Drosophila melanogaster: one gene and its partner. Changing the gene in region 1 together with any one later gene gives a genetic interaction. Each region holds a gene or a part of one and is shown in the gene's direction. Other genes may lie near its edges.

The links.
Region 2: of CG14642 (region 1) and kn, changing one suppresses a phenotype caused by changing the other (phenotypic suppression), as found in Drosophila melanogaster (one study listed by BioGRID).

The regions. Positions count from the first base shown.
Region 1 is NT_033777.3:4,233,101-4,249,307, reverse strand, and holds CG14642 (uncharacterized protein), read left to right. Parts: upstream 1-6,590; 5' UTR 6,591-6,612; coding exon 6,613-6,970; intron 6,971-7,034; coding exon 7,035-7,150; intron 7,151-7,220; coding exon 7,221-7,330; intron 7,331-7,388; coding exon 7,389-7,553; exon of another isoform or gene 7,554-7,609; coding exon 7,610-8,039; 3' UTR 8,040-8,055; exon of another isoform or gene 8,056-8,108; intron 8,109-8,175; 3' UTR 8,176-8,263; downstream 8,264-16,207. Other genes in the region: TwdlG (TweedleG), read left to right, coding at 1-117, 291-457; TwdlF (TweedleF), read right to left, coding at 1,124-2,164, 2,224-2,247; CG34305 (uncharacterized protein), read left to right, coding at 6,172-6,186, 6,249-6,473; Gel (gelsolin), read right to left, coding at 8,371-8,430, 8,594-8,719, 8,784-10,489, 10,543-10,738, 10,931-11,005, 11,491-11,683, 12,504-12,544; abs (abstrakt), read right to left, coding at 14,320-16,179.
Region 2 is NT_033778.4:14,798,909-14,815,781, reverse strand, and holds the start of kn (knot), read left to right. Parts: upstream 1-8,720; coding exon 8,721-8,932; intron 8,933-16,825; exon of another isoform or gene 16,826-16,873. Other genes in the region: hui (hase und igel), read right to left, coding at 5,899-6,196, 6,259-6,508, 7,139-7,199. UniProt on the Drosophila melanogaster protein: May act as a 'second-level regulator' of head patterning. Required for establishment of the PS(-1)/PS0 parasegmental border and formation of the intercalary segment.

The DNA.
Region 1 (16,207 bases):
TAGATCTCCAGACTGCCATCGAGGAAATCGCGCCGAAGCAGCCCAGCAAGCCAGAGGTATTTTTCATCAAATACAAGACCCAGGAGGAAGCTGCGCATGCGCAACGTACCATTCAAGGTGAGCAACACCCGCATCGAGCAGATGCTATGAGACACACTTGAAGACCTCATCAGTATGCAACAGACCTCAAATGTTTCGATTTGCAAGCTTCATAGAAATGTCTATCGACCAATTAATCTGGCTTGTCCAAATTTTTATTACCCGATTTTTAACCGATTTACTTCTTTTAGCTCAATATGACCAGCTTGGCGGAACATCACAGGTTTCTGACGAGGGAGTTGCACCCGTTACATCCGTGATTGGCGTACTGGACAACCAGCGCAACAACGGAATTTCATCCGGACAGTTTTCTGGCTCCTTGCCAAACAGCTACTTGCCAACTAATCTGCGTGCTTAGGTACAACTCCAAGGCCACTGTCGTAATTTTAAGACTTGAACTCTTGTAATTTACACATTTAGTTAAATAAAGTTCATATTTTGAGCTCCGCCTTATGATAGAAAGCGACTCTGCAGCCATATTCAAATATGAAATCGAGTTTCAATACTTCAAAGTAACAAAATAGTTTTCTATGGACCATGTTACCACATCCATTAGTCCAATGACAGCCATCCAAGCCGAAAACCGGTCGCATAAATTAGCATGTGATTTGACTTACATAACAACGATTAAGCCACACGAAAACTTGATTATTATGGCTGTTGGCTTAATGCCAAAAGAGATGGTCCAAACTTTCTTGCGAGAAAGAAGTCATTGTCATAGTCTCTTAGCCCATTGAAACATTTTTGTGATAAAAATAAACAGCGTTTTCATAAGAAACATTAAACTCAAGCTATGCCTTAAATGAAAGATTAATTCCAAATCCTAAAACAAAACCTATCTAAAATATTAAAAGGATTAAACTTAAAAACGAGTACTAGAAACAGAAGGCTTTTTGGGTTTCGATTTAAATTTTTTTATATTTCTTTCGACTTTCGACTTTTGCATTAAAAATAAATTAAAATTTACTACAGTATGATGGTTGATATAAAACAATGAAAGCGATAGGATTCTTACTACAACTTTTTAAAAAGTCTTTGCCGGCACATACTTCCTTGATGGCGCCGAGGGAGCGAATGAGGAGGTGGACTTCTGCACAAAGGAGCTCTGCTGCTGGACCCCCTGGACCCCCTGGTTAATAGACTGCAGCTGAACAATGGGCTGACCCTGTGGCTGGATAATGGTTGGCGCCTGAGAGTGGATGATGGTTTGGCCAGCTTGGGAGTGCTGGGGCACAAAGCTGCCCAGGTTAAGGGAGCCACTCGAAACGCTGGCGATGGGAGCCACTCCCTCGTCCGAAATGTGGGTTGCACCTCCCAAGGCGTCGTACTGGGCCTGGATTTCCTGCTGGGCGCGCTGGGCCTCTTCCTGGGTCTTGTACTTAATGAAGTAGACCTCCGGCTTTTGAACCTTGGCCTCAGACTGGGTAACCTGCAGCTGCTGCTGGATCTCAGTGAGATCGGGCTTTTTAGAGAGCACGTAGATGACGGTCTTTTCCTCGTTGCTTGACTGGGCCCGCTTCAGGGCCGCGGCGGTATATTTCAGATTCTGGGAAGGCGCTTTAATGAAGACGATCCGGTAGTTCTTGCGGATGGGCACATTCTCCAGAAGTGGCTCGTCCTGCCGCAGTTCCTCATTCTCCTCGGGGGCGGAGTGGATGTAAATGTCCTTGGTAACGATAGCGGGGCGCTGGACGAACTGGGTCTGAAGGGCTTGCTGCGGTTGCTGCTGGTACACGATTTGCTGAGGCTGCTGCTGCACAGTGCTGATCAGGTTTTGCTGGGGCGAAGCAGTAAGGAAAGTCTCCTTTGGGAGTGAGATCGACAAAGGAGCGGGAGCGGGGGCGGGAGCAGGAGCGGCAACGATGGTCTGCACGGCTTGAATGGCTGGCTGGACACCGATCGCGGGCTGAGCACCGGCCTGTGGGAAAGATGGGACGGCGCCACTTGCGTATATTCCACTTGACGAAATGGGTGTCAGAGGACGAAGATTGCCAATGGGAAGGGCTGGCAGCTGAGGTTGGTACTTGTATCCCTGAGGAGCTGTTGCTGTGAGGGCCACCAGGCACTGCAAGAGCACATTAAGTGTTAGTTGTTGCGGGGATCGCTCATGTGCCAGTTGCTTACCATTAGAACAACGAACTGCTTCATTTTCACTTTGAACTGTCTGAGCTGCTAGGGTCGAATGATGCCCTGCCTTCCCATTGCTATGTTTTTATATCTGTCCAGGCTGGCATCGTTTTCCCAATAAATGAAAAAATTATTAGGCACTACCATAAATCGTATGAATCTATTATAGACTTCACAACTTCGAATATGTAACGTTTCACATTGGCGGTTGCCAAATCACAGATCCGTGTGCGCAGATGCACTGCTTGAACAGTCCGGGATCTTATCTAACTTGGCGACCAACGCTGCGTTCAAATTTAAATAATCGCTTGAGATCCCCATTGTCAACGCTGAATATATTTATATGCAAAATATTAATAGGTAAAGCGGTTCGATTGACAAAACTGGGATAATATGAAGAAAGTAAGTTTTATGGACGGAAACCCAATTTATACACATTCATGACCAAAATTGTGGGAAGCGATCTATCTGCATATAAAATTCGCTTTGTCGCAGATGTTGTATAAATGAATTTGTTATTAAACAAGTCTTTTCAAAAATGCAGAAAAACCAATAAGCTCAAAGATATTTGTGAAAATATGCTCAGTTCTTCAGAAATATAGCACTTCATGGCTTGAATCCAACCTGGAATCATGCTAACAATACTATTGTTATGGGTAATGCTTTTACTTGCTAGTTCAATTGTTTTCTACTTGCACAACGGTAATTGGAAATAATGGGCAATAACGGTAATGGAAATAACGGACAGACGTTCATGGCCAGATCGACTCGGCTATTGATCCTCATCGAGAATATATATACTTTATATGGTTGGATCTGCCTGTTACATAATTTTCAACGAATCTAGTATACCCTTTAACTCTACGAGTAATATAAATATTCTTATAAAGTGTGGTAAAGCGAATTTTGGTCGGCAGTTGAGCGTTAATTAGGCGAGTCGATGTTTTTAAGTTTCAATCGAAAACATTCCAAAAATCAAGTTTTCATTTGACGAAATGAAATAAATTGCCCGTTACTCAGCTAGAGGGAGTGCGAACGAGTAATCGCAACATTTTTTGGGCGGTTTGTTAGCGTTAAAGTGGAGGCAAAACAACATGCCAAAAACCCATCGAAATTGGCAGGAAAAAATTAAAAATATGTTATTTACAATTTTGAACAGTGTGGCAGCTTTTGGCGATTTGTGGGTGTTTGATCTAATCCATCCAGCTTTTATAGAACAGACAGACATGGCCAGATCGACTCGGCCATATGAACGTCGAGATCTCAGGAACTATAGAGGCTAGAGAGTTGAGATCATGTACATAGACGCAGCTTTTTGCCTTGTTAAATTTATTAAATTTTTCCTCAGTTTATTCTCCAATATCTATCGAAATACCAGAAAAGTGGTGAATTGATCTGAGTAACGGGTATCTGATAGTCGGGGAACTCGACTACAGCATTCTTTTTTGTTTTTTGTTTTTACGACTATTAAATACCATAAGTAAGGGGAATTTTATGGCCTGTACAGTTTTGTCGGTACAAAAAACGTTATCTAAGCATGCATAGAATTAAAAATGCCGTTATGTTTTTTAAATAAAGTTGTTTAGCACAAATTATTATTATAGAAAAAACAGATTATCATTGATTCCTATACATATTGTGGTCCCCGTGGCACATTCTTTTTCACTACGTGGACTACGTCCGTAATGATTGCATATAGTCACGGCTAATCTCCTTTCCCGGTAACACGACATTGAAACATAGTGTTATACCAAAGGCACTAATGTCTTCGGTTATATCTTATACTGATTATTTTGCGTTTAAACTAATACTTTTCATGAGAAGGTGGCAAGTACGGGCTTGTCGACGGTGCGTTTACCTTGCGAACGAACGCATTCCCGTCGTCAGTTCCACTTGAAATGACCTTAGACGCAAAGTCCAAGACGGAGACCGAGGCTCCACCGTTGTAGTTGGTTGAAACTCCCGGTAGCAAGTCATACTGGGCTTGGATAGTGCGCTGGGCGTTCTTCGCGTCGCTCTGCGTTCAATACTTCACAAAGTGAACCTCGGGCTTGCGGTTTTTGTTGTTGTTACGGATAGTATTCAGGTTGGTGATCCACTTGCCAATGTTCTCCTGCTTGTTGAGCACGTAAATGGCGATGCGGTCGGCGGACGCGGAGGTGGCCAGCTGGAGCGCCGCCTGCTCCAGTCCCTTGTTATCGGGATCCTTGATAAACAACACAAGCACGTTCTTCTTTATCAAGTGAGCGATCTGCTCGTTGGGGTGGTCATCAAATTCGTGCTCTGGAGCACTGTAGGTGAAGAACTCCTTGGTGAACTCGCTGGCGGGTGCTATAGCCTTAGAAAGCTGGGCGCGCCAATCAGTCCTCCGTGACCATTACCGGCATACGATACTGGAGTGTAGTCGTACTTCCCTCGCGCCATAGGAAAGAGGCTTAGAATCTGAAATTGTTTGATGGTTACACAAAGTGCGGAATAAATGCTTTGTGTTCTTACTAGAAAGATGCGCATCGTGAATACTTGTATCTACTTGTGGGTGGCTAAATACATTTTTTGTGCGGGCAGTTCGGCAGATGGGTTTCCTTTGCCGAAGATTACATTTGGTCGACGCTTTTATACGTTACTGTTCCAGTGGCTTTTCTGATGCAAGCAATCATTTGTAAGATGGAGAATATGCAAATCTATTGAAATTAGGGAGACGTAGGCCTATTTGATAATTCAGCCCATTTTCATTGCATATTATAGAGCAAATAAGGAAGAAGTAACATTATAAATTATAACAAAAAGCTTTGAGAGTTTGTGCGGACATGCCATATAAAATGTTCTCCTAGTGTTCTTTGTAATGATAATTTAAACACATTTTAAATATTTTATATTCTTTATTCGAATGTTACTTTAAAAATGCTCTGATACTTAATTGTAGTATTTGTCATTTTATGCATTTAGGCGAACTTCTTCCTCAACAAAAATGTGCACTTCACGACATATACTTTCAATTCATATTTCTTCAAGTAAAGTTTCCGACTATTTTGTTATCGTTTTTCCATTTTTTAACCTTTTGTTCATTAGTTGATTAACTAATGTACTGCAGAAACAACATTCGCGTATTTGAACCACCTATTTGCTAAACAACTTTTAAGTCATTATAAGTAAGCCACTAATATTCACAAAGGTGTCATATAAAAGCAGTCCGGCGGCCATATAACTGAAAAGCGAGTTTTTTTTTTTTTTTTTGGTAAGTGTCATCAGATGCTTGCTGTTTTTGATAAAATAACTGAAAAACTTGTTTTGCGTCCAACAGAGCACACAGTAAACTCTAAGGGGAAGAGCAAATCGATTTTTAACAAAAAGAAAACATTCACAGAACTACCCATTTTATAGTTCATGTTAAGAATATTTCTCTTGAGAATTGAAAAATTCGCTACATAGAATAATCACTGTATATATATATATATGTACATAATATACAATATATACATGTTTCAAGTTCATCAAAGCAAGTTATCACAGGTTCACACCTAACGAGAATACATGTTTCAACTTAATATTTTATCAATTTATTGAACACTTTTATACTGGATCCCATTAGGTTTTTAATTATGTAAGCATGTTATACACTGCACTATAAAATGTATAGTTCAAATTTAACTGTTTATAATTTTTAATTATAAGTTGATGTCGTAAAAAATGGTTTTAACCACTCAAAACATGTATAGAAAATTTAAATCGCTTGGTTATGAACCCATATCATCTGAGTCATATTTAAATTGGGTTTTGAGTCAATATAAAAAGTGAAATAAAAACATTTTTATGCAACGGCACACATTGATTTTCAAAAATTAAAATATTATTTTCTGTAAGTGCACGCATTGATTGTTTAAGCTTTGTATAAAAGAGATGTATGCAAGGGCGCAAGGCTTAGTCCGTTTTTGAGTTTTCGACAAAATGAAGATACTCAACGTAAGTATGCACAAATTAATGAGCGGAACTGCTCCTAATGGCTCCCATCGCTGTCCACACAGTTCATAATCCTGCTAGTCCTGGTGACCATCGCTCTATCAGCCCCCGCTGCCGCCACAGACAATGCTCCTACGGTATCCGTGCTGCGCTACAAAGATGATCGGGATTTGGCTAATATTCAGCGGGCAATTATTGCGCAGTACGAAAGAATTGGCGGCACCACTAAGGTTCATCAGCCACTGACGGCCAATATCGTCAACCCAGCAAGCCTTGGAATTGTCATTTAATGCTCGTCAAAAATAAATTGTTTGTATTTGTGATTGTTAGCCCCGCTGATAAGACAGAGCTGCGTGCCTTTTGGGATTAACCGACCCGCAGAAGTTTTAGTCTGCTCTTGACACTCGCCGCGTTCGCAGAGCCCTTACGATGCTTCGCAATCTGTCCGTGTGTCTGATATCATTTATCGGGCTCTGGTGCCTGAGCAATACTCACACCCAGCGCCTGCCCCCAGAAGGGCGAATGCGCCCCTTGCAAGACGACTCGATCCGCTCTCCCGTGGACCGCGACATAGTCTTTCCGGAGTTAGACGCGGGACCAGGCAAGCCCGAGGAGAAGATGTGGTTTCACATAACAGACTTTCAATTTGATCGGGTGGAGGGCCCGACCCAGCCCAAGCCCAAGCCCAGACAATACCCCCCGCCGCCGATGCCCGGCCAGCCCTTTCCGCCGCCCCCCGGGGGCTTTAAAAAGAAGGAAAACAAGCAACGCCGCCTCTGCGAGCAAAGTAAGTAATTCGAGTGTTCAGCCATTCGATGGTTCGTGAGTCATTGACTGAGTTTATCACCAAGAATATTCCGAATATGTGGAGCGCATCTTTCCCAATGATACCGCAGTGGCTGCCGATGCCAACGACGCAGACTTCGATGGTCGGGTCCTGGCCCGGCCCGGTGAGTACCCACATATGGTACGAAACTAGGTAGCTGATAAGCCTCTACTGAGGAACTAACCCAAGCCCCTCGAATCTGTTTTCGTAGGCTGCCGTGGGCTTCGAGTCGGACAGAGGGCAAGTGGACTACAAATGTGGCGGCAGCTTGATAAGCGAGAGATTCGTGCTTACCGCAGCCCACTGTACATCCATATACGAGTGAGCATGCCAGTTAGCCCCCTGACCCCCAGTCCCGTGACTGTAATTTTCCTCTTAGGGCGCCCCCCAAGTGGGTTCGCATCGGGGACCTTGACCTGGCCTCCGAGAAGCGGTCGGTGGAGGCCCAGCTGCTTCGGATTGAGCAAGTGTTCGCGCACCCAAATTACAAAAAAAAGATGTACTATGACGACATAGCCCTACTTAAGCTGGAGAAGGAAGTGGAGTGGGTACCCAACAAGACAGAAGTGCGACCGCTGTTTGCTAACACGATTCTCTAAGACTGACGGAATACGTTAGACCTGTCCGCCTGTGGGTCTTTCCAGAGCTGCCCACTACGATAGCCTTCGCAATGGGGTACGGCGCAACGAGCTTCGCCAAGCCCATGACGAACCGCCTCACAAATCTTAACCTGACCGTAGTGCCGAACGCTGAGTGCAACGCCGAGCTGCCGCCTCTTGCTGAAACTCCCAGTGGAGTTCTGGAAAGCCAGATCTGCGCCCAGGACTACATTCTCAACAGAGACACTTGCCAGGGGGACTCGGGTGGACCCCTACAACTGAATTTGCCGGGTCGGCGCCGAGGGCATAGAATACACTATCACCTAATTGGCATCACCTCATACGGCGTGTTCTGCCGCAGTAGTTACCCATCAGTTTACACCAGAGTGTCTTCTTTCTTGGACTGGATCGAACTTACTGTTTGGGCCTGACAGATGCCTACATCAGGTTTGTATGATGTTGATGAAATTTAAGCCAAAATATATATTAAAAGAAATGGTATATTCTTTCCATTTATATTTCGATTCTTCCTATGGCATCTGTGTGTATGTATATGGACCAATCTAGCCCAACAACTATTTTCACAGGAGATATTTAAATACATTGCTACAACATTACACTAGTGAATTGTAAAAATAAATTGTGCTAAACAGTGGCCATATTGAAATTTATTTTAAAGTTATATTAGATAAACATAGGTGTTAGAAAGGCAAAAACAAACATATTTTTTGGTAAATTTTGCTGAGAATTGAATCATTGGTTTTAGACTTCATTGTTGGCATCAATAACAAGTTGCTTCATGTCTTCATAGCTGGGCTGGTTCTACGAGACCAAGAAAAGGGTTAAAAATACATAGAAATTATATAAATCTATTGTGTAGCGACTTTACAATTAAGAGAATAGGCCATCAGCATTAGTAATCAGCTTACTGTACAAGCAAGCAGTTAAACGAAGACAAACTCTAGGTCTGGTTTGGATCACGTACCTGCCAATAATTATCGTCCCAGTTGGGGAACATGCGTTTGAAAACCCTTGGTTCCTTGCCCTGGGGGACGCGAATGATGCTCACCGTGTCGAAGGAGCGGGCGGTAGGCTCTAAATTAAAGTAAAGCTGTAAATCAAGAAAAGACGTATAATTAGACGTGATAGAAAGCGATGGTGGGAAACGAGAAAACCTTTGCCGTGTCCAGAAGCTTCCCATTTTCCTCCTCAGACACGCCATAGCCAACCCAAAGGTAGATCTCATCGCCAGCATCCAGTAGCATTATGTCGTCCGAGTCCAAGTCCTCTTGCTCGTATTGAGCAACTTCTTCAACCTTCAAAAATCCACCAGAGCTCAGATGACAGTGGAAAAGGCGCGACTCCAGCAGTGGAGCTCCATCGTCACCCAAGCTGCGGTCGTACTGGCCTTCGCCGTTTAATTCCTCCCAGAACTCATCTGGCTCGGCACCCTCCTCCACCTGCTCGAGCTCAACGTCGTCCCAGTAGTCAGAAAAGCGATCAACCGCTGCTTGTTTTTCGAAGGCAGATGCGCCCAAGCCATTCCAAATGTAGATTTTGTGGGACTTTCCCGAATGAAGGACGAAGGCATCACTTGAGGCCAAAGATGAGCTGTCGGCGGCCACCTCACTAGCATGAACATCACTTTCGACGGTGCCGCGAATGCGGAAAAGCTGCGCCGTCACCGGAAGTGCAGTAAAGGATGTTAATAACTTCCCCTTAAATATCTTGTAGAAGTGGCGCGGCTCGTGGCCCTGATTGGTCTGGACAAGAAGACCATCCTTGGAACCTACTAGACCCTCCTCAAAAGCACGTTTCCTAGCGGCAGCAGAGGCCTTTACTCCATGCCACACATAGGTTAGAGAACCAGTGTCCCCGTTGTTAGCCTCGTAGTTGTAAGTGAGCACATAAGAGGCAAATCCCAAAAGAGGAAGTTTCTCATCGAAGGGAACGGTGCTGACCACGATCTCATCGGAACCAGGCTTTGCAACGTACTGTGTGATGGTTTCAATAACGTTCTGACCGTGATCCGGCATGAACCCAAAGGCACGACCACCGCTCTTCTTTAGCTGAGTCACCACGGAGTCGATTTCGTCATCGTTTAATAATTCATCGGAGCCGATACCCAGAGCCGAGCGAATAAGGCGACTATGGGACATTCCAGCATCACGCCAGGTGTCAAAGTACTGCTTAAATGGGGCGGACTCGGAGCCCTCTACGATGCGGTGAATTTGGGTCCAGGCCGGGTACTTCTTGGTGCGTAGGAACTCCTGCGCCTTGGCCATGGCGTCCGTCTTCTCCTTCTGAGTGGCGCCTTTTCCGACCCACACAAAAATGCCAGATCCAGTATCCAAAATAAAGCACTCGCGAGTGTCGAGCATAGCCTGAGTGAGTGGTTTTTGTCCAATGATGTCCACCTTCAGCTTGCCGCTGGCGTCGCTGACCTTGTAGAGAGAAACCGCTGCGGCATCTGTCCTCTCGAAGGCACTATCTTCGTCAGCAGTTGACTCATCGGGCACCTGGTCAGCAGAGCCCGATCCCAGCACGTCGAAGAAGTGCTGCTTATCGGCATCAGTGCTGAAGTCGTCGACGATCTGAACACGGGCTCGTCCGTTATGATCCTGGTCCCTGATCTGGTTTGCAGCGCTGATAGCCTTTAGCTTCTCAACGCGCTTGGCCTGGGAGCCTACGTAGACATATATATCGCTGCCGGCATCCAAAATAAAGCAATCACCCGTGTTCATCGACGACACGGAAAGATTCACCTGTCGGACGCGCACGTTTCGCTTGCCCTTGACCTGGAATAGTCGTGTTTCTCCTTGGGCGTTTGTCTCTACATGCTTGAAGCCAGTTCCGACGCCGCCCTGTTCATAGCGAATGCCTACAACAACATTCAGTTTAATGAAACGTCCAAATCGGTTTGACTACTTTTACCGTTTTTGAAATAGCTCAGAAACAGCTGGGACTCGTGGTCCTGCACCTCGCGATGTTGAACAGGGCCACCATTCAGCAAGTCATCCAACTGGACGGTGAGAATAGCTGCAGCTCCGGCCTCATCGGTCGAGGTCTCCAATCCCAGCCAGAAGTGCACATCCCAAGACAGTTTTTTGTCTTTCTTGTTTTCAATTGTCTAAATGAACATAATGATTCGATTTTGGAAAAGTTTATGTGAGGTATTGCAGAAAAATGTAAAGTTTATTACTAAGCTAAGCACAGATGCCTTTTTACATGACTTTGACAAGGTTAAAACCTTCCAGTTGCTAACCAAGCAGTTCACTCCACGCGTTTAATTAAAACTTTAACAATTCAAATGCATACTTACATTAAGAACAATAAACGAGTCCCCAGTGTAAAATTTGCCGTAGTTAGTTTTGGGATATATAACGGGCTCAAAATTCTGAAAAGATAAAAAAAACTATTACCTGATTTCCAGAGAAGATAATTTCCAAAAATGTCTGACTGTTTGGTATAAACATTTATTCTGGTCATCGCCTGATTGTACACAAACGCATCGCATCTCGAACCTAATAAATTTGGCCGATGTTGGAGTTAATTAACAAGAAGGATCAGACGTCTAATGTATACAAGCAATTTCCATATATCTTCTCGGGAAAGATACATTATGTATGTATATTTATAAACACATGGCCGCCACACTGCCCGAATTCCAGAATAGAAGCAAATGTCTGCCGATCTCGAGCTGGCGCGTATCGGGCGCCATCCCTCCGCCTTCGTACCCTTCTCTCCCAGCCTTCTGGGTGCCACTGCATAAGCACCGCACCTATCCCATCGATGTCAGCGCGATCTGCTCCTTACTTACGCTTATTTATTCTATTCCCCGTACCCGGCAAGAGAACAACTAAATCCCAAAATCTGACTCACCTCGATGCGCCAGATTTCCAGGCCGGGAGTACGGCCGGCGTTGGCGAAGGAAGGATGCATCACGCGTCTGGCTGCCTGCTTGCTGTTCTGGCCGCTGGGCTGAATTTCGCCGGATTGTACGGGAAACGCAGGACGGGCGTTGAGGGTGCCGGCTGAGCACAGACTGGACGAGAGGGCCAAAAACACAAGCAGGCTGAAAGAGACAAGCAAAAAGCTATTATGGCAGCTTAATTGACCAAAGATAACAGAACTACTCTAAAAAAATATATATTCCACTAAAGGACTCTTGCGAGTCTATGAGGGTTTTCTCTTGATTAGTATCACCAACAAGTTGTTATAGCCACGTCCGTTTCTCAGCCCGACGCAAAATAGTTTATCAGTTTTTATTCTATCCAAATGATGCGTTCCGAAAAGTCTTCTTTGCAATGCAGGTAGGGTATCACAAAATTTGATATTAAACAGGTGTTTTCTTCGATAGTTCTTTAGTAAACACAACCGAAACTATATTTTTTGAACCAGAAAGATTTCAGTCTGCTACACGAAAGCGACTTTTCTTTTGGATAATACAGGTTTCAGGGAAAAAGGACAATAGGTGGATATGGCTTACAACATTCAGGCACTCTATTCACAATTACGCGCAACTCCAACTGATACACCGCTCTGTAGGGTGTTCAAGACATGAAATTGTGCTCTCTCTCAGCGCAATTAAACTAGATACACCTAAATAGTACATCCGACTGTTTATATGTGAGTCATGACCATAAAAGGCCACAAACTAGGCACACCACAACTGCCACATGGGGCAAACCTGGCGAAACCTAGAAATGAACACAAAAGTCGGGTGTTGAATCACACCGCAGCCACTTTTACGCACTTACTCTATTTGAAACGGCTGTTTTCTCGAATTGGTGTTAGCGATGTCGCGTACGACTGCTAAAGTTTTGTTAAAATTCAGGAACTGAGTACTTATCACCCCAGAGCTTTCTGGACAGCGAACTGCTCGCTTGCATTACCTGGAGAGGACTGCCATTGTGGCGGCGCCGGAGGCATCCATTTCGAGTCTGCCTCTTCTCTGGTCGACGACCGAGGGTTCCGAGGAGCTTTGTTTATTGTTGCGATAAGTATCTGTGAGTCGCAAATAGCGTATATGCCCGATGTGTTTGGGTACGCGATCTTTTGTATTGGCCTTTATTTTTGTCGTAGCGTTGGTTTCTAGTTCAAACAGCGGCAGTTGCTCTTCCAGATTTAAGCAGAGTGTGTGGAAACTGCAAGTAAGAGAATCATCAGGGCAATAAGAGAAGGAAAGATGTTAATATTTTCGAACGAATCGCTGAGCACTGATGTTTAACCGCCAACAAGTACGCGTATGTTATATACAGCCACCCAGAAAACAACGTCTTTAAATAATAATAATTGTCTTCAACAATAAGAGCTTCCCCAAACTCGTTTAAGCTAAACTTCCTGATGGATTTCTTAAATGTGAGTTGTAGAATGCTAAATGATACTTAATATTTCCCGAAAAGTTGTTCTGCTCACCAGCTCCTCTCTTGTATGATATCATGTTTGTATCTCGAGTGCGCTGCTTGATCAGAGCATAATGTTAAGGAGAGCAAAAAAAAAGTGCCGCAAGCGTGTAATCGCATATTGTCATTCAGTTAATTAGTTTCACCTGCGTATGAGATCACGACTGTTTTCGTCAAGCGGCAAGCCCATTTGGCCCTTCCTTGCAACTGGGTCACAGCCAAAAAAAAAGAAATCAGTTTTTATTGAGAACTCAGTATGGGATGGAATCATATAAGATTTTTAAATTATGTCGGCAAGCACATTAGTTCCAATTTGTAAAGGCTTGGGAGCCAGTCAGGAGTACGTCATACGTACTTCGAAATGATACCTATTTGAAATGAAAGTGATGGGCCACAGCATGTTCGGAATAATATTCCGAAGCCGGCCATAAGTTGGACCAGCTTGAATTGGTTGGATAAAGGCAGTTACCCATTTTCCAGTGCCAAAATCATACAAACGGATTCTTGGACAAACCGCGCGCATGGGTAACATTTAAACATTCAAATGTGTATCCAATTATTCAAATCCAATCCAAATGCCAATGAAGTTGGGGATAATTTAACGGAGATAAATTAACCAAATTTTGTAGGTACCATCAATTTAATTTGATCATATTATACAGTGTTATGAATTTATTTTTTCAAGAACACACAGCTTGGTAAAAAGCTAGTGGCTTATCTAATATAAAACCGACCTCAGTTCCGATGATTGTTTTCAAAGCAGTAGATAAGACAAATCAACGACCAATTTAACGAAATGAACTCAGCAAAATAATAGCTTTGAAAGTTGTTAATGTCTATATAATCAGCCTTCAATTGAAATCATTTAGGCTAGTCTGAATTTTACTTTATACTAGAGTAACCTACTATTCTGGGCGATGTTATTACATATTGCTGATAAAACATCATTTAATTTTTGGGGCACACTTACTTGTAAGTCAATACGATCTGCGCAATTTCTCACGATCCCAGTGCGATGATTGAATAAAAGCGCTTCGAACGACAAGCATGCAGAGCTCTGCCTCAGACACTAAACGAAAGCCAAAGCTCGTCTTCGCTTTTATAATATTTTTCTTAAGCCCGAAACGCGCGCGCGTCCGGCCGAGATCGCTCTCTGGGGTTGCTGGGACGATTGATAAGCAAAGCTTCGTGCGATAAGCAGCAAACTGAACTTAAAACAGAGTGAAAATAAATTTAAAAGTTCCCAGAAAAGTATGTATGTATACTAATCTATTTATTACTATTTTAATTTGGTGGTGGTAGTGGTTTAGTAATCCGCAGCGGTGTTAGATAGGTAGTCGCGACGTCCTATGTTTGAAGCTTGCTTGTTCTGAACAGCCTCAAGTTTTGGGCACTCCGTGATGCGATGGCCCAGACCACCACAGTAGGTGCAGCCATGCGAGTCACCCAGGTCCAGGTGCTGGTGTTCGGTCTCAGGTGCCAGTTCGTCCAAGAAGTCCGGGACCTCTTGCTTGCCCTCGATTAGCAGGTGCTTCAGGTCGAGCAGAACCGACTGCTCGGTAGTCTTGTTTATCAGCGTCGTAGCCAATCCCTTAGTGTTGGAACGACCTGTGCGGCCAATACGATGCACATAGTTTTCAATATCGTCCGGCATGTCGTAGTTAATAACGTGTTGCACGTTAGGGAAGTCCAGGCCCTTCGATGCCACGTCGGTGGCCACCAGCACATCTTTTTTGCCCACGCGGTAAGCATCGACTGCCCGCGATCGTTCTTCCTGATCCTTTCCGCCGTGAATAGCCACCGCCTCCACGCCTTTCAACAGCAGATACTCATGTATGCAGTCTACATCCTGCTTCTTCTCAGCAAAAATGAGCACGGGCGGCGCGGTCTTCTGTAGGCAGTCCAGCAAATATACCACCTTTGCCTCTTGCTTAACGTACTCAACCTGTTGGGTGACGTTCATTGACGCAGCACCTGCGCGACCCACATTTATTGTGACAGGCTTCACGAGAGCTGATCGAGCAAAGTTCTGGATCTTTTTTGGCATGGTGGCAGAGAATAAAAGTGTCTGTCGCTGGCCTTTGAAGAAAGAGAATATCGTACGAACGTCCTCTTCAAATCCCATGTCAATCATGCGGTCAGCCTCGTCCATGCACAAGTACCGGCACATGTCCAGCGTAAGGATCTTCTTGTCCAGCATATCCATTAGACGACCAGGGGTCGCCACCACAATATGTACGCCGCGTGAGATGACGTCAAGGGCCTCGCTGACCGGCAAACCACCCATGGCCAGGCAGGAACGAATCTCAGGCATTCCGCATGCCTGGAGGTGCTTGCTGTAGTGTTGAATTATCTCGTGTGTTTGCTTGGCCAGTTCGCGGGACGGGCAAATGATCAGGCCGTAGGGGCCCTCGTTACGCTCAAAAGGCAGACTATACTCCTGTTCCAGGGCAAACATGATGACTGGCAGCACGAAGACAAGCGTTTTTCCAGACCCAGTGAAGGCTATTCCAATTAGGTCGCGGCCGGCTAGTACAGTGGGCAGGCCTTGCACTTGGATTGGGGTCGGGTTCTTAATGCCTTTGGCCGCTAAGCCGTTAAGTATACCTTTAGGGAACTTCATTTCCCGGAAGCTGCGAATTGGCGGGCTGGGGGTTTCTCCCTCCACTAGGATCCTCAACTCGTGGCGAACGGCCTCGCGCTCTTCCTCCGACATTTCCCGAATGTAACGCGGCGGTTTCCAAGCTGTTTTAATAGGCTGCTCGTACTGAATCCCCTTCGCCAACTCTGCCACACCCATAAGGGCCTTCTGCTGAGCAATGCTCTCCATAATCTTTTCCTCCTCTCGCAGCTGCTTTTCGACGGCACTCAACTTTTTGGCCTCGGCAATTTTCTTCAGTTCTGTGTGCTGGTCCAGCAGACTAATGTTGTACTTGCGTCCCCAGGTCTCGACATCGTGCGCACCCTGCGAGTCGTCTTCATTCTCATTCTCGCTTGACGACTTGGGCTGGGCCGTTTCCGAAACCAGTTGCACGATCCTGCCCAGCTTTATCATGTGCTGCTTCTTCCGCTCCTTCACCGGTACGTATGGCACGTAGTCCTCGTTGTCCAGGTCGCCTTCCTCCGAGGACTTAGACGACCTCCGATACCGCTTTACGTGCGCCATAGCATTCGATCTATATTTCTGATTTTTG
Region 2 (16,873 bases), on another chromosome or scaffold:
AGTATTTAGCTAAAGTTAATGTCCACCAAGTGGAAACAATCGCAAATGAGAAAAAACAGTTAATAAATCCTATTTTGTATTTCATACGTTTAAAAATGTTTTATTTGAAACTATTCTTAACTAGTCACAAAACTATTATTCAATCAAGTCTTAATATTTTTATTTTTTCATTACTAAAAACAAAGCAATTTTAAAACCCAGTTTACCTTTTCAATGCTTGCTGAAAATGAAATCAACTTTTTATATATTTTTCAAATGATTCCAGAACATATCTTAGTCATTGAAACAGTGTTTTTATTAAATCACATTTCTAGTTTTTCCCTGCTTTGCACAAAAAAAAAATAGTTTCCAGTTCTTTAATAACTATTAATGCAATCAATAATTCATCAGTTTCGTGGCAGCTGCACGAATTGTCGTCCTTCGTCCTGCCGCTCACCCCCTCTCGGCGCATCTCTGCCCAACAATTTGTTTTTACTGCTTTATTGTTTTCGTTTTTGTCGCTTAAAAATGACAACAAATTAGTTTGGCTGCCGGTCGGCGGTTTCCCGCTGGGTTTTTCACAGTTTTGTTCGATATCCGTTTGTTTGCATTCCGTTTGTTGATATTTTTTTTTTCGCCCGTCTTTGCCGACTTTGTGTCCTTGAGTGCTGGCCAATAAATTATGTGAAGGATGCTGTCACTGCAGCGCCTCACTCCCCTAAAAATCTGGCAAATCGGGCGGGTTGAAGGCTAGGGATCGGGGTTTATTTTTCGTATGCGGCGAGGGCGCGACGTGTTTTTGATTAGCTTTATTAAATATGCAAACAATGAAAATGCTGTCCTGTATTTTTTTTTTTCACTTTGTTTTTGTGCACAAAAGTGTAAAATTCGTCGGAAGCTTAATTGCCGGAACATTTCTATTAAATAACTCAAAGGTAGATATACATAAAGCAGGGAAAAAAATCAAATAAATTTAATATGCATTGCTTACAATTTTTTCGTTGAGCAGCCACAACCCTCCAGATTTCACGGTAAACAAATTGTTTGTAATGCATTTTAATTTGGTTTGGTTTTTGCTTTCTTGGTCCGGCAATAAATAACATTTTTTTAGACAAATTTGAAGTGAAAATGTGCTCATAACTTAGTTTGGGAACTTTGCCGAGACTGAAAATTTACATGATTTTTCCATGTGACGCAGCTGTATGAATATTTAAAATAAATATTGTTTTTTTTTTTGTTTTTAATTGCCTTGAGAAAACTCCAAAGTCAATTTGGTCAGTTGGTTTCCTTTTTTTGCTCCCATTTCTTTCACCAATAAGAAGCAACGGTTGTCGCTAAGAGAAATTCGATGCTGCTAAGAGAAGACTGAATTGAAAGAGAACTGAACTGCTTTATCGACGGCATGTGAATTGGGTTTGGTTAGCTATTTTTTTTTGCTTGTTAATAGTTGTGATAGCTTTAATTCTTTACAGTCATTCTAATTTAATGCTAAAAAAATGAAAAATTTAAATTCGAAAAATAAGTTTATGGATTTTTAAAATAACAATTTTTGTGCCGATTAAATGGTTTTAAATACCACTAAACTTACAATATATCACGAAAGACTGTCTAAATACGAATGAAAATTTAGATTTATGTTGGCTAAAGGTTTTTGTTGCAATGTCATCTATGCAGGAAGGGGAAATTTTGGGGAGGAGGGTCAGAAAAGTGCGTGAAAAACTGAAAAAGAGTTGCGAGAAAAGCGAATGGAATGGAAAATGCCCCCAGGGAATCGCAACGGAAATCTATGTATGTCTGCATATGGAGATTCTCTTATTGCTCTTATCCCCGCTGCTGTGTTGTTGTTTTCATTTCTGTTGCCATTATTTTGGGTGGAAATTTCACCCTTTTGCAAGGACACTACCTTCCAATTACCCCCCGCATGTGGAAAAGCAGTAACATATATCTAAAGCAGCGGAAAAGTGCACATATTGCATGAAAAAGGGTTCATTAGCAACATCAATTATAGTTGGAGGTCCGAAAAGGTTGGCACAGGATAATTATATTTCAAGGGTTATATATGGGTTATATATGTACATATATATATATATTATAACTTATTATCAGCAGCATTAAAAACTTAAGTTGCTCGCAGCTTTATATGTAAATTTATATAAAATGGTTCATAAGTTGTTCAGTATTTCAATGTATCTTAAATTCGATTCAACGTGGTCTCCTCTTGTCTCTCTGATTTTCATCATTTGTTTGCTTTCAGTTTTTCCATCAATTATTCCCAGCGATTCTGTCAATCTCCCGGGGAACGAGGAAAACTCTCAGACCCTCTGCTTTTCGTTTTCCTCCTTTCGACTGGGCATTGTTTAACAATTAACGGAACAAGTTGTTTAACTTTACCTAAACGATTTAAGTCAACAGAGCGCTTTACTCTGCCTCCTTCACTCAGCTGTATCCTTTATCCTTCGCTCAGTCCGTGGTCAGAATGTCCTCGTCACTTGGTCAACGAGGGAAGGGCGTGGGGGATGCACGGAATCCTGGCGGTGCTTCCGCTTCCGATGACTGCACAAATCGTTGGTCTCCTTTTTTTTTGCAGATCCATTTCCATTTTTTTGCCAGCTTTTTACTCCAGCTCCAGTTGAAATGACAGAAATTTGTCAGGAAACAGTTCGTTTTGTTTGGCTTTCGTTTGACGGCGGCACTCACCTGCACATCCTTCTGCTTCTCAACCTGTCCCTACTGAACTTTTTTGTTTGCCTTGGCTTGAATGTCAAAGAGTGCTTAAGACTGCCGGTCTTTATGGACGCAAAAAAGGTGGCCCAAATACGGGAAATATAAATAGTCGGGTCTAAAACATATCTTACAGTAAAATGTAAAATAAATATATATTATAGAATTAATAGATGTATGTAAATGGATACCATGAAAATGGATAATAACATGCAACTTAGCACATTCATATACATTAATCATTCTCAAACTATTTCGGATATAGTCGTCTCTCATCTAATTCCGAATTGCTTCCAACTGTTGTTGTTCTCAAAAATATCTTATAATTTAATACCATACTACCCTCATTTGGATCATTTTAGATGACGCCCATGCCCCACGATTACTGGCATTTCTGCCCACCCACAGTCAGTTGAGGATTCCCGTGGAACTGGCAGCGTGCGGCTTCAATAATTAAATTTGCGACATTTCAACGCTCCAGCGATCAATGGAATGGAATTAACTGTTGTCAATTATCCGTCGCTGCTTTCATGCCTCTAAATAGCAAATGCAGCAAAAGCAAAAAGCACGAGCACACAAGCACAAGCAGAAGCATCGAAAAAGCACAAGGCAAAGCAAGGATTGCCGACAATAAAATGTCACTTGATCGCTGCATTGGCGCTCGTGTCCAACTGAATTTAGGCATCGCCGGCGGTGGTCACTCCGTGGAAGTTTGCCAATGCGATCGGAACGGTGATGGGAGGGGTTATGCTCAGATACACTCAAAAAAAAATGGTATACACCTAGTCGAAGTGCAACCATTGCTTATGGGTAAAATCGCCTAAAAGACTAACAATATAAATTTGTATTATGAAGTTTCTTTAAGATAAAAGCAAAAGAATAGAATGCTGATTAAATGATCCCATCTTACTTACCAACATTTTTTAAAGTGTATCTAGCGTAGATGGAACAGAGGCAGGGTGATGCCAGTGGTGGTGATGGTGGCTACCTGACCAGGTGGCGTCGATCTACCGCAACGCTTGGCCACACAAGAAGCTTAATTTGTTGCAAGTTGTCCGCTGTCTCCGCTTGACTCCCCATCAATCAGCGAGCGATTCTTCAACTGGAATGGTGCAAGAACAAGCAGAAGAATTGCTTTTTGCGACAGTACCGTTTCATCGAAAATTCAGAGCACGCCAACTGAAACATGTTCTCTTGATTTCCCTCTTTATCTAGCTCTCAAGAATTAAGCTTTCATTGAAGACCGCAAAAGCCACTAATTATTCACTGCTTAAAACCAGCTTAATTAATAATAACAATTACAATTAGGCCGATAAACATGGTTACGGAAATCTTTTGACTCTAGATGTACTTACAAGGGCTCACATGGCTTACCTACCTTAGCTAACTAACTACGATAGCAAAAGGTTTATTTATAATTCGCTTGGTATTGTCTGAAGTGTATAATTAGATATGCCATTTCTAAGAATATTTTGCTATGAGTTTGAATGAAAAGAATGGTAGAAGAGGATGAAGAGAAACATCATAGCCAAAACCTGATTTTGAATTGGGAGAGTGGCTAAGTCAAAGGTTGAGTCGTGCAATTAAGACTTGAATGAGCCATTCACTAATTTTAGTTATTTAGTAATTTCAGAAATTCTTCTTAGTTTTATAAATGATAAATATTGCAATTAAGGTACCTATACACTGGCATACATTATTTTCAACACGGAACTCCAAATTGTGCTAAGGCTAATCATAATTTATGCAAAGCTGAAAGTTTTCAGTACTTATGATGGAATAATCTATTCAACTTCTTAACCTTCTGGTGGCCCTCCCACAATTAACCCTTATCCGTGCTCCACACATGCCAACCATGCTCTAATGAAAATCTATCTCGCTGAAAGCGTAAATTCATTACACTTTCTCAATTATGTGAGATACATTTTAAACAAAGCAGCCGGGAAAAACCTCATCTTAATCAAGTAAATTAATAGCAGCGAGAAGGAGCGAGTTGCCAGTCAGAGATCAAAGTAATTAATTATAATAATTAAAAACTTTTCAGCATTCCCTGTCTCGCTCACTTCATCACGCCGAAGTTACCACAAACTTTACAGCATTTGGCATGTGAGTGTGAGAGAGATGGATTGTTTGTTCAAAAGTGCGTGCACCTGTTGAGATTTCGGCAATTCCCCAAGCAAATCCCATATTCACATCTTGTTCGGAACATCGCCACCCGCCATTTTCTACGTATTTTCCCCGTTTCATATTCTTCGTGGTGAAACTAGTAGTTTTTGTCACTACCGCTTTTGTTGTCTTAGAGTGCACTAGTTTTTTAATCATCGCTAACAGCCTTGGAGGCTGTAAAGTTCCACTTGGCTGCCCTAATACACTAAAAGCATTTACCAACACTGCCTGCCACGCCCCCTGAAACACGCCCGATTAACCCCCACACGCCCACCGGCAATTGTTTGTGCTCATCGGTGCAAGCACTCGGCACATATCGCCATCTCTTTCCAACTGACAGTGGCGTACGCAGGATAAAAAGGGGTCACGAAACACCTGCGATGATTTATAATATATTTGAAGATTATAGAAAGTAAAAAAACTAAACAAAGGTATAATGAAATTCTGAAATATACTAACATTATTGAAAATTTCCTATAAGTCAAGTAAACATTTCGGAAGTGCTACTAATGTTTTGTAACTTGTTTTGTCTTTTGTGATGGTTAAAGGGTTTTTAAAAGGCAACATCTTTAATTATTTTCTTTCGATTCTTTAACTCTACTGACTACATTGTGCATATTCGTATTGATCCCCTTGAACCGAAACCCTGGTACGCCCCTGGTTCATTCGAAACATCCATCACTTTTTGCTGCGAAGTGAAAGAGGATGAAGGATATAGGATGCAGATGCAGGTTACAGGATGGAACTTTTAAGATATGGTATGTGGGATGCAATCATCTAGAGTGGGCAAAACAAAAAAAGAACACTTCAGATGCGGAAACCGCAATGAATACACTGCGACATCTGCAAGGGGCGTGGCAGTGCGCCCAATTGGAAGCAATTAATCCCACAAACCAAATGGCAAGCGAAAAAAGCAAAGTTCTTTGCGAGCTCTTATTTCTGAGTTCATAACAAATATCCTGTTAAGAAGGCACCGTGTCAGTTAATTTACTGTAATTTATTAAAGTTTACACTCGAAAAAAAACCTATGTTCTATTTGGATGAGTAAGTGGATTCGGTCTTCTTGATATTGAGAACGCCGTTGGAATCGGTGGCACCCTGGATGTTGGTCACCTTCTGGTTGCCACTGGCATCGACAACGGCCACGGTCTGCTGGATTTGGGTGGCGGGAATGGGTCCAACTCCGGAGATGTGCTGATAGCTACCGGTGCTTCCTACTCCGCTGTTGCTGCTGATGGAGGCTGCGCTGGTGTAGCCATTGTAGGTGGGATAATAGTTGTCGCCTCCAGTTAAGGAGCTCTCGCCGAAACGCTCATCAAAGGACACACCACTGGAAATTAAAACGATCATTAGTGATCATCAATAGAAGTCCTCATTTTCCAGTTAACTCACCCAAGCACTGGAGCAGCGGCCTGCTGGGTGTAAGAGGAGCCAGAATGACCGGAGCCATCGGCATTCTGAACGCTGTGTGAGGCGTAGGTGAAGACGTTTCCTCCACTGGAGGACGAGGAGGATGATGACGAGGAAGACGAACTGGACTGACGACGCAGACGCCTCAGGAGATGGGCATTCACGGGATGGACATTCGACTGGTGGCCCTCCGAGTCCAAGGTGAAGAAGGCACGGGGCAGAAACTGGCCAGCTGTATGAATAAAGAGCAATGAATTCAGCGATAAGTATCTGAAATCTATGAATATAGCTTTAAAGCTTAGATTTCGTTCACATCTCGCCCTTATTTACCACGATTAAATATTTTATGAACTTTTACTATTGAATTTATTTTTAATATTATGAAAACCTTTGAATAATTACATATACTTAGCATATATACCATGCAGATTTATTCCAAGTTTTTTATGATAATGCTAATCCCAAAAGTATGCTTATAAATCTCAAACATTCAACAATGGCAATTTCTTTTTTGAGTGTGAAAGTTTGTCCACTCAGCGATCGCGTGAATAATCAAACGTAATGCTGATTTTGAATAGCCATATTTTAGGAATCGTAATAAAAAGCGAATTTGTTGTGCGGAAAGTTTTGCTGGACAAACATTGTCGCAAAGTTAATGAGCTACGCGAATTTCACAAACCAGTTTGGGTTTCCGGATGGGTTCGATAGGTTTTTGGGTATTATTAACATACTAGCACCCGTCGACCGACTTGTTAATTCAATTAATAATAAACACGATAGCAGCTCCGACTAGCGATGATGTAAGTGCACAATCCGGCTTAAGCTCTCCTCAAATTATACTCAAATTTGCTTTTTTGCTCACCGGAAGAGGCCGAAGCGGTAGTAATCGCAAACAAAGCGATGGCAATCACAGCGTACTTCATTGTGAAGCGGTATGGATCTGTAAGAACACACACTTCGTCACTTAGTAGGGTTAATTCAGCGGTTAGGGGTATGCAGAGGGGCCTATCTGCGGTTAAGCACTCACAAAGACGAAACGAAAGACTGAGGCAGCGAACGCGTGAAAAGTTCCAAAACGACTAAGCTCGCGGTGCGGCTCCCTAGCGCTTATATATGGAAATTTCGAATGCTGACGCAGTGCGAACCATCTACATCATTATCATCTAAAGCTGGAAGAACAAGCAGAAGCCGTCAAACAGGCAGAAGAGTTGGGCAAATAACTCCACCGGTAGGTAGACTGAACAATAAACAAATACAGAAAAAAAAACAAGAGGCAGGCATTTAAAGTTTCTTAAAACCTCTGGCTGTGGCTCATAAACGTAAAGTTAGGCTCAATGATTCATAAGGTTAAATACTATCACATCTCTCAGTTAATTTCCCCTCTCTGCAGCAGAGTTTATCTCACATATAAATCCACCCAAAAAGTTAATGATTATGGGAAATAAACACATGACGAAGCAGCGAAGCGCCAACGGGGAATTTCTGTTCTGTTTGTTTTCACTTTATTTGTATTTCGCATTATATATTCGAACGCCAAACTGTTTTGGCCAGCTCGTGTAAATTGGCCAAGTGCCCTCGCTTTTTCTTATTGTACTTTTTTTGTACCCAGTCTGCGCCTTGAGCTCTGCTTTTGACCCGATTCGTGTTTTTGGCAATAAAGAACTTCTCGAACTTCTTCTCTTGGGCTTGGGGCAATAACCTGATTACAACGTGGCCAACACCTAACAAACGGAGTTTCAGAGAAATATTATGCATTATACATACATTGCCGATCATAAAGCTAAACTATATATACTCATTTGTTTAATGGCTGGCATGCGTCCACTAATTATAATATTTTGTGAATTTTAATAATATTATGCCTCGCTCGGTTTTACCGCTCCATCTGTTTGAAACAAAACTGGTTTTGATGGGATTTTCGATTGATCTTGCTCGACGAAATGAAAACAAATTTTGTTATTTAATTTTACATTATCATATATGTATATTCCAGGAAATCCTTTCAATTAACCGGTTATTTGGGGATTATTGTTTTTAATTGCCTAAAATAAATCTAAGGCTTTGATCAATCAAGAAATAATTGAAGACAAGTTGTGCAACACAAATTATATTGCATATACACATTTTGCACGTTTTGCTGATAGAAGTAGGGTATTTCTAACAAGTACAATTAAATAGACATATGTACTTTTTTCAGTAAAATATTACCAATTTTTCACGCACTACTTAAGCCAATCTACCACCTTAATTCCGTTTTTTTTCTTTTGAACACATGAAAAAATTCAATTCCTTAGATTTATATTAATCTAATTGAAATCCACAAATTTGTTGCCATTTGTTGTGCAGAAGTATTTTTGAATTTCGCACACGTTCGTTGGCAAAAATATGTACAAATATTGAATACGAAAAAGTCAAGGAAAAATTCCATTCTTTTTCTCGCAAAAATGGTGACAGAGCAAAATGCTGACCGCCGCCTACTAGGAAAAATAATCCCCAGCCGATTTGAACGATTTATTATTTGGCCCAGCCAACTCGGAGCCTGTCCCGGAATACCCGGAACCATTAATCATCCGAGTCCAGATCCAAGTCCGAGTCCGAGTGGTGGACAGGCGGCATTGCAATTGGTGGACATTTTGGAGTGGAAGAAACTTTTGCGGTACGTGGCAACGTGTTGAAATTACAAAATGTGTTAAAAAATGAAAGAGCAGGGCGGGTAAAAAGCAAAATAATATATTTCATTCACACACAGACTTTTGTCTCTGCTCCGCCGTCCATATAAAAAACATAAATTTCCTTTGAGAATAGAACTTCTGGGATGGAGAGGGGGGGGGGGGGGTGCAAGGTGATTATGTTTGACAGCCGACTTGGGACACGAAGCACCGCCCCCTTTTTCATCGCCAAACAGGACATGGGTATTAGATCCTGGCCAAAGTGCCAAAACTGGCCTCACTTTCCGTCTGATTTACGGCCAACTATTTTGTTTAAATTTTTACCACTTCCCTGCTATCGACACTCAACTTAAAACATATAAAACCAACTATTTAAAGAGCAAATAAAGTTCAATTTGATTTTCTTTGGCCTTCGTTAATAATTTTCCTGCATCTCTCTGGGGATCAGCGAAAAATATGAATTATTGAAACAGCTGAAGGAAATAATATAACCAAATCGGAAGGCCAAATCTGTTTAATGTTTCAGATATGTTGGTGTGGGTTGACCAAATGACAATATGCTTTTTAGCTTCAACCTCCCTCAAGCGAAATTGATTTTCATGGTTTTTCTGTTTTTTCGCCTAAAAATACACAAAAGAGTCGAAAAAATTTGACTGTGATTGTCACTTGAATGTGTGGGTTGGGAAAACCACTCCAAATCCACTTCACCAAATATGTCAGTATGGAATCACGAACCTCGCTTGATTTCTCCAGTGATTTTTCGCAATCAGCCTGATGAGGATGTGCCGAGAACGTTGCTCATGGAGGCAGTGCTATGATTAGTATCCTTTCAGCCAGGTCAAAAGTGACGCTGCCGCATGCCAAGTGGCCTCGGCCAAATGAAACTTTAATGCGAAACAAGGACAAAAGGCTGAAAGAAGGCTGCCTGATGAACTACGTGATGGTCAGACAAATTGAAGTTACACTGGAAAATAATTAGCTAATTTCCTAGTTTGCTTAGGTTAAGGGATTAAGTAAGAATGTGTTTAAAGGACTCTTTTATAGGTAACTTGTTACTCTAAAGAAAACTTATCCACAGAATAGATGTGCTATTTTATCGCAGTGTATGTGGATAGTCAACGACAAAGTGAAATGCATTGAGGTTGGTGGCGAACAAACGCGACCTGAATCGCGAATTGGAATAGCCAGCCTACTCCGCCCCCTCAGGATATATAGCTACTTCGACTAGCATATGCGCCAGATAGTATAGCTGGCGTATCAATTTCGATAATGTACTTGGACCGCGAGTATCTTTATTATCCTGACTGCTGTGCAATTATTTCCGACTGCTTTACTGTCGTACCGCTTTTCCGAGTCCTGGGAAACGCAAACAAAGGATATTTCGCGCACACGCCTCGGACATGATTGCATCCGGGCAGGAAGCATTGCGTCGTGTCCTTTTTGCATCCTTACATCGTCGCTTCCTTCCTGCCGATCAGAACCCCTGGCTGCTTTTCATCCGCAATTTTCACGCCCACTTTGTTTGATGATGACAAATCTCGTTGCGTGTTATCAGATTGGCCAACTTTCCGTTGCTATTCCCCCTCGTATTGCATAATTATGTTTATCTTTGGAAGCTGCGCTCCTGCCACGTGTCCTTGCGTTTTGGTTAGCTTCCTGCGATTTTGCTCGGAACGAGTGGCACGTGCTAATCGGCGGTCGTCTGCACCGCCCATGCAACCAGCCACCCCCCCTGGTAAGTGCAACCCCGCCTAACATGTCCGATAATTGAAATCGCTAAGCTGAACAACGGAATCGAAATGGCTTCATTAATCAGGTCACTTCGATGGCAGCGCATAATGTTCTTCAAAAATTTGAATTGGGGGCGGTTGAAAAGAGGAAATTGGTCTATATAGCACTTAGCGCGATTGAATTTGCTCATTTTGTGTTACCTAATTGGGGAAAAGATGTTTCGGTTATTAATCATGAGTGATACTTACTATTGTATTACAAAAATGGTGCATATATCAGAAGATATATATTATTAATAGATCTTAAGGAGCATTTGTATCCATTCACCAAAATATGGTAAAAATAAAGCTTAAATTAAATTTGCTCATTTACCTTTAAGGACATCCTTTGCTTAATGAGTGCACTCATGCCCACACCCACTCGCAACCGAATGAGTGTCGCCCTGCGGACGCATAAATTATAAATAAAAGCCTCACACACGTGGAGAAAGAGAGGTGTATATAACCTTAGAGAGAGAGAGAGAGGGAGAGCTACAGTCTGAGGCCAAGAAGTGTGCTAAATATTTAAGTACTTAAAACCATAAACCTGAGTATTTATAAATTGGCTTTAACAAGCTCGTATGTGACGGTGGTTGGGTGTGTGTCTGTGGGCTGACCCTTTTTTCGGGCACAAGGATCTGCTCGACTCGATTCCATTCATTAGAAATGCTCACTAATGTGCCCGACTTAATAATAATCAAATTTATATGCATGGTTATGTCCTTTAGAGCAGGACCACAAAACTGAAGTTTCGAGTGGATTGCGAATGGGATTGGCTGTTAAGTTTACGGAGAAACCTTTGAGAATGAGACGAAGATAATATGTCAATATCCTTGTTTTCCAAAATGTCTGACCAAAAGTGCAGATGTCCAGTATCGAAACACGCCCAAGACCGGTACCGTTATTCTGCTACCAGTTTTCTTGTTTGTTTTTGTTTGTTAGCCAGCTTGTTTGTGGCCGACACTGAGACCAAAAAGGCCAAAAAGGTCGCCCCCTCGGGATTTCCTTAGTCCTGCTGCCAGCTTCTTCCTTCCACATTCTTTTTGGGGGTCCGATGAGATTTGAAAATTTCACAAAAATTAATTAGGAATGCTGGCATCCATGTTGTGATAGGCTAGTTCTTTTCTAGCCTAGCAACATTTTTGATGTGACTAAAGAGAATCATCTTTATGGCCACACCCGGAATACTCATTCTTCAAACAACAAGCGACAATAAAAACAAATTACAATTGCAACAATGGCAGCGGCAGCAAAACATTTGAGACATTTTCCCCACACACACACACAGACACACACATACTTCAGTTAAATGAACATTTGCAGGACCTAGATATTTATTTATTACAGGGGTTGCACTGCAGGAGCATTAACCCCTTACTGCCCACGGCAGTCTCGAGCAACGGAGGACTGAAAAAATTGAAATAAATTACCAAAACTAAAGGCAACAACTGTTCGCATAATGAAGTCAAATTATATTTGTGCCTAAGTGCACTGAGAGAAATTTAATATAACCTATGATTTACACGATCGATTTTCGATCTTTGCAACATTTTTTGAGTGAAACTAGGAAACCCTTTACAAGCGAGATCTTGCAGTTCTTTAGTTTCTAAGCATTATTCTAGTATTTTAAAATATATTTTCCTTTGTTCTGGTCTTAATTTATTATAACTAATGAATATTTTCCGTCTGTGTATTCGGAAAAGGGGGAGTTGGAACATATAAAGATGGGGTGCAGAAAAGATGATCAGGGAAGGTGTGAGTGGTTCAAACTAGCTGGGCGTTTGGATAGCGAAGGGTGCGTCCTTTGCTGGTCCTTCGAATTATGCAAATCGTCTGCACTTCAGATACTACTACCCCTACAAAAAAAAAAAACGAAGAGAAAACCCCCTACAAACAAACGTATTAGTGTCATCGAGCATTTGCCAAGCCATTTCATTGACACGTAGAACACCTTTTTCGTCCACTTCGTATGATGTTATCATTTAATTCTTGGGGAATTAACACGGACATTGTCAACCGTAAATGAGCTAATTAATCTAGTAAATGTGTCGCAGCTCATTCCACAATTTCTCTACTACTTGAGAGCGAGGAGTGGGTTCGCGTTTTTGTGGTTCTCCAGAGGATCCCCAATGCTGACACGCTTCTCCAGGTGGCCGAGGAGTGGGAAATGGAAAATGGGCAGGGTTTGCCCCTCGGGGAGCTGCACTAAAACCCCAAATGAGATGCATGAATTCCTCTTCGCCGACAAGCAGCTCATAAAAGTTAACATCGAAGTATTTACAGCATATTTTGGGGAAACTTCAACTTGGAATTTGATTAAATGCAAACTACTTGAAAACATACAACTTCAAATCAAGTATGTACAATTTTAAATCAAGTAGATCTCTTTGAATTTATTGATTTGCTTAACCAACTTAAGTTTCCTTAACTTCTCTTATTTTTGTGTATTTTGGCTAACTATTTTTGGCCACAAATCGATCTTTGGTCGCGCCAAAGTTAATGAACCAACCGCACTTTTCCAATCTCGCATTTGATGCGTTGGATTCCACATATTTGGCCAGACTGAAAAATAATTTCATGTTTATGGCCACGTTGTTTTCACCGGCCACAAAAATGCTTATCGAACGCCGGAGATCGCCAAGCGAGAGACTTGTAAATATTTATGATTTTTTGCGATTTTTATTCGACTGATAAACGAGTTTTTCCCATCGCACAGTTGCGATGTGCGAAAATGTTTTGTGGGAAGAAATTGTGCACCTAGCCCATACGATTCGATTCACCTTCTGTTTGTTGGAATAATAAATCTGTAGAAAGGTTGTTGTATTTTTAGAAGACTCCATCCCCCTTTGTTATTCTTATGTAAACGAAACCTTTTTCCTACACACATAGCTGCATAGTAAGTTACCCTCATGAGAACGTTTAGGCCGTGAATATTGGGTAAATATTTAAACTGGTTGCGATTGTTTTGGCAAAATCGTTGCAGTTGGTCAAACACGTGTTTGAGATAATTTAATTAAATTTACTTGGCTTTTTTAACCCGTGCCACGTGCCACTCGAGTCCAGTTTGCTGCCCTCGAAATGGAGTGGCAAACACTTGAGCACTTGCTTTAAAAATGCGGCAAGTGCATTTGGGTTGGGTGGGTAGTTTAGCTTGGTTTTGGCTGGCTGGTGAAAATTCCTAGGAATCGAAAACTTTGGTGGTCTTCGGACGGCAGACAATGCAACAATGTCATACGTACTTGGATGAATCGCTGGCATCTGTCGCAGTCCGTGGAGAATAGACCGAAATTCCCCCGAACTCACGAGCATGATGTGGCGATGATGACTTGTGGAAATCAAGCAATGATTTCCACTCCATCTGTAACTAAATATGATTTATTTTCACGGTGTGTGTTAGCCGCTCTCGCCCCTCTCATTAGTCGGGGCACCGGGGTAATTTGCATAAGTGTCCTGGCCCCAGGAACCAAAGGACACACTCGAGAGCGAGCTGGAAACTAATTAAAATGTTCGCGCCTCAAATTTCCTTCGCTCGCCCTTATTTATGACCCTGTGAATGTCTTGCATATGGACGGAGTTGAGATCCTTCTCGTTTTCTTCCTTTTTTTGTTTACGAGTGACAAATGGGACATTTACATGCGAGTCAGTTTGCATATTGGAATTATTCATGGTTTCTTTAAAGATGGCGCAGGATGTGATGTCGCGGGAAAAGGATGAGGGTTTCCTCAAGGAAGTCGGAAATAGAAGTGGTTTCTTTTCATGCTACCAATATGGGGGCACATAAAACTTGCATTTGATGAGCTAAATGTAAACATACACTATTTAAATACATTTTTTATGATAAGTGAACTTAAAGTCACACTAACTTTTGAAAATTTGATTGACTTCTACAATGTGTGTTGTTTAATTTCTTATTTTATATTTTTTTAAATATCGAAAATCTACAAATCCGCTTATGTTTAAAAGTCAAGCCGCTGGCTAATTGACAAAATGTGTAATTGTGGCGATGAGAGTCCTTCCGATTGTCACTCTCCCAACCCTCCGTAATCCCCTAAGTCACCATAGGGGTTGGGTAAAAATCAAATGCGGAGAATGTACCAACAAATTATTTAGCAATTGGCTAGTGCGCTAGTCCGGCGCCATGTAAATCCAATTGTAAACAATTTGAATCAAATTCCGGGGGCATCGCCACCGAAAGGGGGTGGCATGGGTTAAAGGGTCATGGTGTTCCATGACAGCTGTCGCGGCCGGGAAACTCCACTGAGGATTGGGCGTGATAAAAGGGGTTAATCGAACACGCGGACCACAGCTTTTGGATCGGGGAATTTTCTTCACCTTTGCCGAAAAAGAAAATTTATTTGTCAAAGGGCGTGGAATTTCCTTCTGGTTATTTTGGTTAATTAGCGATGTCTGGGGACATCTTCAGTCTGCTCTTTTCGCCTTTGATTTACACATAAAATTTTGTGCGACCTAGCAGCTCTGGGGAAATGTTTCCAGAACTTCTCAAAAATAGACCAACAAGTGTGGGTGTGGGGAAAATTCGGGAAAAAGAGTTGCCGTCTTGTGGTTAACGGAGTTTTCGGTCCTTGTCAGAAGTTAATGAGATTACCACGCCCCCCCAAATTAATTCACGGAAAAGTCAAACAAGCTCTCTCTCTTTCCCTCGTCCATTCAATCGGTCACAGGCAGAAACCGCAAATGCGGAAAATGCAAATTGTTTTTCATGCGAACCCAGAACCTCAAAAACCAATGCCATCCCCTGACCTTTTTTCACCTTTTGTTCTCCTAACGAGGCGTGAAAATTTTGTGGGCGGTTCCGGTAACTAATCCCTTGCTGGTGGAAGAGAAAGAGGAAGAGGCATTTGGATGCGAAGGGTATGCCTATAGGCACTCAACTCTGTTTGACAACTTCTTCTGCCTAAATTATGTGCGAAAGTCAGAAGGGTTAAACCCGAAAATGATGACTAATCAAGTCTGTGCTTACAACAAATTTATAAAACAAAAGGCAAGATATAAAGGGAAGAAAGTGAACTATGAAACAAACAACAGGATTACAACTGCCTTTACGTACATATAACTATAACTTCATATCGCAAAACATTATGAATGTAATTATGTACGTTCGTTATACATGTAATAGAAAAGCGATACATCATTAAATGTATTAATGTGTTATTTTTTATCTAAAAAGTCACAGAAGAATTCAATACTTAAAATTAAATAAAAATTCTAATTATAATTATACAATAAAAATAAATTTTAAATTGAATGAGGGACCTATGCCTGCAGTTTCTCCATTTTCACGACTGAATATTTTTCGACATTCAAATCTGCAGTTCCACTATTTCTCCGCCGTTCCGCGTAGCTATGCGCTGCTTGGTTTTTGAACTGCTTTGCCGACAGCTAAAGAGAATCGACGCTCTCTCTTGAAATCGCACACCCAACTGGCCAATCAGGTTTGAGCACTGCACACAATGGCATTTGCCTTTTGGGCTCCCCAGAGATTTTGGTTTTGGTTTTGGGTTTTAGTTACCGTTTGGCTTGTGTGTTTTGTTTTTCGGTGCCTTGTGTTTGCTGCCTTTGGCTTTGTCTTTGCAGGCGTTGACACTTTGGTTTCCCAAAAGAGCTGAACCGAAGGTGCCTGGGAATAGAGAATAAAGCCAAGCTGAAATGGAGACCCGAGATCCCAAAACCGAGATCCTAGACACACGCCCCCTTCGATTGGGGACGTCGTTGCGCTGGTTCCATTCGCACCGTTCCTAGGGGGCTGCTCTCACTCGCTCCCGCTCGCTCCCATTAGGATGCCATAGGATGGTGGTGGGTTCTTTTTTCTGCTGACAGCTTTGCGTCTCTCCACGGGATTGGCCATTGGACTGCCGCCAACCCCCACCCCCTCCGGCACGCTCTCTCCGCTCTCCCAGTGGCGCAGACTCGTTTCGTTTCCATTTTCGAAACTCTCGTTGGCCTGCCGTTTTACCCTGCTTCTACTGCTACTGCTTCTTTCGCTACGGCCGCCTTTGTGGCTCTGCTGCGTCGCTGCCGCTATTGCTGCTGCTGCTGCGCCGTCGCCGCCGCTTCTTTTCGACTGCTGCAGCAGCATCGCTTGGCAAGGATTCAGTTGGGGTTTAACAGCCACTCGGGACGGTAGCGCGCGCCGCTCAA